2 linked regions of the Ovis aries genome follow. The protein of the gene in region 2 interacts with the protein of the main gene of each other region in a biochemical or structural test. Links are inferred from orthologs where the notes say so. Each region holds a gene or a part of one and is shown on either strand. Other genes may lie near its edges. The genes, in order: NMU and NMUR1.

Region 1 (3,908 bases), on a different chromosome or scaffold from region 2:
TTGCAGATATCCAAAGGTACCTCTCTTTTAGGAAATTTCTGTCTTCATTTTAATGTTCTTTGAATGGTAAACTGTTTCCAGCCACCAATTCTGTGGCTGGCCCTTTACCTTTTTATTGCCATTGCAGCTCTGCTAACACATTTTTGCTGAGGATGCTACACTTATTGACACAATTCCGGCCCCCCCCCGACCCCGCCCACCCCGACCCGGCTTTGTGGCATTTGCTTTGTTTTTTTGATACATCCACTTGCACCTTGCATAATGATTAACCTTGGTGGATTGTCTCCCGGCTTCGCTTCTGTATGTCAAGCTTCCCCTCCAGTGCTAATTGTCAGGGCTCAGGAATATAGCAGATCACCAGGGCAGATCAGATGAGAGTAAATGCACCCTCTTCCCTTCTCATCACATTTTTAGAGAGATAAAATTAATTTTTTAGTATTAACAGCAGGTCTGAAGGGGAAAGAAGACACAAAAGGGTAGTCTAGGGGGATTTCTGTGTAGGGAAAGAGGTATCTCATCCCTTAACTTGAGAAACAGTGGGGATATTTAAGAGATGATTGGTCAACCAGTAGATACCCTCTTTTGGAAACAACACCCAAAACTTGCTGTTTTTAGAAAATGGCTGCTGCTTCCTGTAGTTTCTGCCCAATCACCAGTAGCCTGAAAATTCCCCTGTATCTCCCTGCTAAAAGTTCTCTCTCACTGATGCAAAATTCACTGCAAGCATATAGTACTTAACATCATGGAAAGTATATTTGCTTCGCAGAGAAAAAATTAAACTGTGACCATCTGCTTTCTGAATAAGGTAGATAAAAGCGACCATCTTAATTTTACCAATAACAAATTTAAAACGGAAAAAGATGAACGTGACTTTGCAAAAGGCATGCTGTATCGCTGCTGAATATGCAATGGAGAAGGTTTAGGTCTCCTAGCTTCTACTGCTTACATTTCACAACCAAATTACCCTGCTTTTCAAGCCGAGGAGTCCCCACCTCTCTGAATCTCAAATGCCCCAAGGAAAGGGGGAAAACAATGAAAGGACAGCAATAAAAATAGCTCTATTAGGAAAAGAATGATGTGTCAGTTCCCCCACCTCTAAAAGGGGGCTGGGCTACAGGTTAGGGAAGGTTCCCACACTAATCGCTTCAAGTCCTAACATTACGGACAATGATGAAACGGCCCTCCCTTACAGGACTGAGAGGAGAGCAGAGGGAAACTAAGGGGACCCGTTGCGGATCTAGAAAATTCAAGATCTTAGTAGGGCTACCGCTGGCCCAGGAGGGCCCTAGCTCAAAGCTGGGAGATGAGGGATGGTCCCCTCAGGCTACTTGGAAAGGTAACCTTAAGGGAGCAGGGAAGTGATCTTTTCCACTGGAACAGGTTATATCTACCCTACCCCAAGTCCCAAGATTCGGACACCCCTTCCAGACCTTGCTTTTGCTTTCCCCCCATCTTCCCTCTAGGCCACGGCTTCACTGGTGGTTCAGATGGTAAAGAATTCTGCCTGCCAATGCAGGAGACCCAGGTTCAATCCCTGGGTCGGGAAGATACCCCGGAGGAGGAAACGGCAACCCACTCCAGTATTCTTGCCTGGAGAATCCCAAGGACAGAGGAGCCTGGCGGGCTACTCTCCGTGGGGTCTCAAAGAGTCGGACACGACCGAGCAACTAACACTTTCACTTCCTCTAAGTGAGGCACAGAAGTCCTTGTTACTATCGAAGCACAGAGCCCACGCTCTCCCTTTCCATTCTGCTAGAAAGGGGCTTGTTACTGCTCAGGCTTGCCTGAACAGTCCTGGAGCTCACTCACCAAGAAAGGTGAGCACTTTCCAAGTTGACCTCGCATCACACCCACTCTAGTTTTGCTTCACTGTCAATCCCTCCAGTAATTGCAATCAAAGGAAGAGCATTTTAATTTTCACTGTTTTAACTCCCGTTACCCATAAATCAAGCGGGCTGGACATCCCGAGTCTGAGGGGGCTGCCCGGCTTGCGAGATTCCCCCAGGCCCAGGTCCAGGCTCGAGCCGGGCCACAGACACGTGCGCCCTGGCTACCCTGAGGTGGCGACCCGTGCGCCGCGGCACGAAGGTGTGGCAAATCCCACCAGCCAAGAGTAAAGACGAGAAAAGGAGATAAGAGATCGAGGAACGGAGCGGGGAGAGGAGGCACTGGACTGGACGCGGCGCGGGTGTCCCAGGGGGCGCGGGGTCCTCTTACCTCCGCAGTCGTCCGCGCAACAAGACAGCAGTAGCAGCAGCAGGAGCGGGGACCCGGCGGCCACATGCCCCGCCGGCGGCTCGGGGCGACGGCTCGCGGCTCGCAGCATCCCGGGACCCTGCGCTGCACCTGCCGCGCGCTCCGAGCAGTGCTCCGGTTGAGCTTCCGCGTCCCCGGCGCGCTGTTCTCCCGGCTCCGCGTCCAGACAGACCGCCCCACGCGCTGCCAACTTTTAAATCTCGCGGACACGTGAGCTGAGGCGGCTAGGTCCCCGCGCGCGCGTCACCTCCCGCCCCCGGCCTTCCTCGCGTCACTCGCAACCCGCCCCACCCCGCACCCCATGCACGAGTTTCTGACTCAGGGTACCATGCATCTTTCACCCTCCTCGCCCTAGGGTCTCTGGAATGGAGGGTCATAGAATTAAAATGAAGCATGTCTATTCCCTTCTTTGGAAGCACTGAAGGGGAGCCGGAGGGGAATGCAAACCAGGCGGCCAGCAGAGGCTGGTATCCCGGCTTTTACACTTGGTGGTGGCGATGCTCTGCCAGAGACGACCCGTCTGCACCCTCCCCGGAAAGCCTTCTCTGCCCCACCCGACTGTGCGGCACCTCTTGTCCAGAGCTCCAGGAGCCACCTCGGTGCAAGCACTTCTGTTCTGTTGCCCTGTTCATCCCCAGCTCTTGGTACACGCCCAGGGAATCTTAGAGCAGTACTGGCTCATGGTGGATAGTTAGTGTTAGTCGCTCAGTCATGTCCGATCTTTGCGACCTCATGGACTGCAGCCCACCTGTCTCCTCTGTCCATGGAATTTTCCAGACAAGAATACCAGAGTGGGTTGCCATTTCCTTCTCCAGGGGATCTTCCCAACTCAGGGATCGAAACTGGGCCTCCTGCACTGCAGGCAGATTGTTTACCGACTGAGCCACCAGGGAAGGTGGTGCTGTGCTTAGTCGTTCAATCGCGACTCTTTACGACCCCATGGACTGTAGCTCGGCAGGCTCCTCTGCCCATGGGGATTCTCTAGGCAAGAATACTGGAGTGGGTTGCCATGCCCTCCTCCAAGGGATCTTGCCAACCCAAGGATAGAACCCAGGTCTCCCACATTGCCGGCAGATTCTTTACCCTCTAAGGCACCAGGGATGGTGTTCCCCAAATTCCTATCAGGTCTGAGATCTTTTAGGGGAAAGCAGTTGTCTGTTAAAGACAGTTAAAAAAAAAAAAAAAAAAAGGACTGCTGAGGCTTGACCACATAGACCTTTCTAAGTTCTGGAAGGTCTTGACTCTCCTGCGGAATTGCAAGCCTCAAGGTAACACCTTCCTTTCTGTGCATTTCTCCTGCTGTCACTTCCTAGCAGTTGCATTCTGATTTCCAGAGTGACCTGACTTCTATTATCCCTCTCTGCAGTTTCCTTCCTAGGGGGAAATATCCATGAAACAGACTTCTCCAGCGCACTAGCTGATGTGGCCTTAATTTCCTCTTCCAGAAACAAGGAAGAGGGATCTTATTTGACCTCCTTTTGAAAGGAACGCTGAGGGAAGGGTAGAAAAGGAAATACACTAACATTTCTTAAGGGACATCTTTATGTCAGGCACCTTCCCATGCTATGCATTTAATATTCATGGCATCTCGGGGATGTGAAAGTACTTTATTATGATTCTCACTTGATGAGCTTGGAGATATTAAACAATCC
Region 2 (3,808 bases):
ATGCCAGGGTCGCAGAGGACTGTCCACGTGGGCTTCAGCATCACCCAGTATCACAGCAGGAGAGGAGGAGACGGGAAGCAGAGAGGGCCCAGCCTCTTGAACAAGGAGGGGGAGGAATGTGTATGACTGTAGCCAGGACAGGAGGTGACTCGAGCCCCAGAGGAGCCAGCACTCCTGTCCTGGGAGTAGCACTGGGCACTTGGCAATGCTGCCGCGCACCCCACCTCCCCTACCAGCCTGACCATGCAGAAGAGCAGAGCAAGCTGCAGAAGACCCTGCATCCAGGAGAGACTGGGATCTTGCCGGCTGGCCTTTCCACCTCCACTCATTTCTCAAGGGCTGAGCCCAGAGCGGCTGTTTCCACTTTCCATGGTAACCAGTGACTCATGACAAATGGGACCTACCCACTGACGTGTTATGGAGACACTCGAGAGACGTACACCGAATTTACACTAAGAGCCCAGGTCTTCTGATAACTCACCTCCCCTACGTTCCCCCATCTGCCCAGGGCTTCTCTGCCCATAGTTGGCCCTTCACAAATACTGACCAAAGCCTCAGGAGCACGTCAGCTCTGACCATCACTTAAGAGAGGCTCCAGGGAGTCCAGTTAGTCTGTGGGAACAATAGCAGGCTCCAGCCTGAAGTCTGGCGTCTGCCGCCTCCCCCAGCGCCACCCCAAGGCCTCCGGGGAGCTCATTTCAGAGACGACATTGGGTCCTCGTGGCTCTGCACAGCCCCTTTACACAAGCTCCCTTCTCAAATTTGCCCATCCTGTCTTATATATGGTGGTTACCTCTGGAGAGTAAAGCTACAGGTGACTTTTTTTTTTCTTTTCCTTTAGGCTTAATCCTTCCTTAAAAAAAAAAAAAAAAAAAAACTGTAGTAAAATACATATACAATTTACCGTCTTAACCATTTAAGTGTATAATTCAATATTATTCAAGTATATTCACATTGGTTTGCAACCAATCTCCAGAACTTTCAAACTGAAACCCTGTACCCATTAAACAACTATTTCCCCCTCCCTCTCATCCCCTAGCAAGGGTGGTTTTTAATTACTTTAAACTGCTTTCGTTTTCACTCATTTGTAATTTCCAATTTTCTAAAATGAGTATTGTTTTTACAATTGAATTTCAAAAACCCCAGAACATTTTGTACAGTCTCCTCCACTTTGCAGTCAGGGGGCCAGGGGCCTGAGCTGGGGAGAGTCTGCAGGGAGAGCCCCTGCAGCCCCTCGCCAGGGAGGCCAGGGTTCCTCCTGCTGCAGTTCCCCCTGGGGAGGAGAACGGGCTGGGCACTGTGGCAGGACAAGTTCTGGCCGTGAACTGAGTCCTGGCTGAGCACCCAGCGATCCACGGGGAGTCAGCATGAGCTTCATTTCAGGACTTAGCCCGTCTCTCTTCTCACCTCAGGGCTTTCCTAGTGGCTCGGCAGGAAAGAATCTGCCTGCAGTGCAGGAGATGCAGGAGACACCGGGTCGATCCCTGGGTCAGGAAGATCCCCTGGAGGAGGGCATGGCAACCCACTCCAGTATTCTTGCCTGGAGAATCCCATGGACAGAAGAGCCTGGTGGGCTACAGTCTGTGGGGTCTCCAACAGTCAGATACGACTGAGCACGCATGCACCCTCTTCTCACTTCACGGAGCCCCAAGCAGTCCTCACAGGGCACCCTTTGTCCTTGGGTGGCCCATGTCTCTTGTCCCCAGAGATTTTCTGGCCAGTCAGGCCCAATGCTCCGCTCATCTCAGGTCCCCAAGCCAGCACGTGAGGAGGTGAGAATGGAGGCAGGCAGGGGCCTCTGCTCACACACATGGTCCCTCAGTCGGTGCCAAGTCTCACTTTCTCTAGGACAATCAAAGAATGTTCTTTGGGTGGCTCTGGAGGAGGTGGGGTGGGGAGCTTGTAGGGGTCAGGGCAGGAGTAAAGGTTGAAGGTAGTGAGGATGTGAAGTGTAATTTCCACCTTGTTAATCTGAGGGTATCTGTTACCAACAGTGACTTCTGCACCCACACAGAAAACCAGCTGAAGTGCCAAAGTGCGATGCTCCAGAGTGTCAGGGTCTCTTTTGTTTTGCAAATAAGGGACCCAGGCATGTAAGGAGAGGCAATTTGCTTGATGCTGGGCAGCAGGGGCGGGGTGGGGGGGTGGGGGCGGTGGTGGTGGTGGTGTTTGCGCAGGAGGTGGCAGCACAGCTGAGATTGGAAGCAGGTCCCTTGGATCCCAGGCACACCTGCCACCTAGCGGCTCCACCAGGTGGAAATCCCAGAGCAGAATAAGTCAACTGGGGCTGGGGAGGGCTTGGGTCAGAGGAAGGGCACAAGTTCCCAAGTGCACCCAGAGCTAGAGGGGGCAAAGTGGACCAGAACCGGAAGCTCAGCAAGAAATGGAAAGGAGAGGAAGGACCGCCCCGGAAACACTTCAGAAACTGGGGGTGGGTGGGGGAACCCCCAGATGGAGTCTTCCCATGCCCAGTTAACCAGCCATGATGTTCCTACCAGGGCAGGGCTGTACCAGGAGGCCCAGGGGTCTGGAGAGCAGACAGCAACCTTATAATCGTTCCAATACATGGGTGGGGGCAGTAGTCAGGTGTCAGTCAGAGTTACTAGGCCGAAGTGGGGAAGAGGGACAGAGGATAGCCTGCAGAAGAGGCAGGTGTGGCCCCCTCAAAGCTGGGTGTGACCTTCTGGCCCCTTGGGGTGAAGCAGCATGAGGCTCCTCTCAGGAGGGGTGCGTCCCTTGCTGGCCCCCTGGGCCACTATTCTCGGCCAGAGGCTGGGCCTGGCTGCCCGGGGAGCCCATGTCACCCAGGGTGCTGCCCGTGGTCACCCTGCTGAGGCTGTAGGAGCTGTGGTGGGCTCTGCGGCTGCGGCACTGGGTCCCTGGGCACAGGGCCTCCCGGAAGGCGTCCCGGAAGCGGGTGGACATGAGACTGTAGAGCACAGGGTTGGCGGCCGAGCTGAGGTAGAAGAAGACTCCAGAGATGACGTGCACATACTGGAAGGCCAGGAGCAGGCCCTCGGTCCAGGGGGACACGCAGCTCCACATGAGTCGGTCAATGTGGAACGGGGCCCAGCAGATCCCAAACACCACGACCAGCACAACTGCGGGCAGAGAGGGCACCTGTTCTCACCTCCATGCTTCTCCCACAGGCCACCCATGCCCACGGTCCAGCTGGAAGCTTCTGGAAGTCTGCCCTGACCGCGCACCTTTAGGAGAGGCTGCTCTTGAGCCACTGCCACTGACTGACCAGTGGGCTGTGCCCTGGACCAGCCGTGGACACCCGAGCCAAGCCTGGCCTGGTCCGGTTCTCTCGCCGTGGAACTGGAACTGAGTGTGTGACACAGTGCGGCTAAGGACCCCTCTGGTGACACTCGGGAGCCCATGCGCGCTGATGCATAAGCAGGGAGAAGCAGGAGAATGGGGCCTGTGGTCAGAGGACAGTACAAACACACACACACACACACACACGATAAACACTGGCCCCCATACACACACACAGACAGACACACACACACAATGAACACCGGCCCCCATACACGCACACACAGATACACACATACATGATAAACACTGGCCCCCATACACACACACAGACACACAGACACACACACAATGAACACTGGTCCTCATACACAGACACGATGGAACACTGACCCACATACACACACACACACACGATGAACACCGCCCCCCCATACACACACACAATGAACACTGGTCCTCATACACAGACACGATGGAACACTGACCCACATACACACACACACGCACACACACACGCACACGATGAACACTGGCCCCCCCCACA

The links.
Region 1: the proteins of NMUR1 (region 2) and NMU form a complex in vitro, tested with the Homo sapiens proteins (2 studies listed by BioGRID). The link is inferred for Ovis aries from reciprocal best matches to the Homo sapiens genes NMUR1 and NMU.

What each region holds. Positions count from the first base shown.
Region 1 is NC_056059.1:71,782,801-71,786,708, forward strand, and holds the start of NMU (neuromedin-U), read right to left. Parts: upstream 2,425-3,908; 5' UTR 2,327-2,424; coding exon 2,218-2,326; intron 1-2,217.
Region 2 is NC_056055.1:233,280,962-233,284,769, forward strand, and holds part of NMUR1 (neuromedin-U receptor 1), read right to left. Parts: intron 3,102-3,808; coding exon 2,719-3,101; 3' UTR 1,408-2,718; intron 854-1,407; 3' UTR 1-853. UniProt on the Homo sapiens protein: Receptor for the neuromedin-U and neuromedin-S neuropeptides.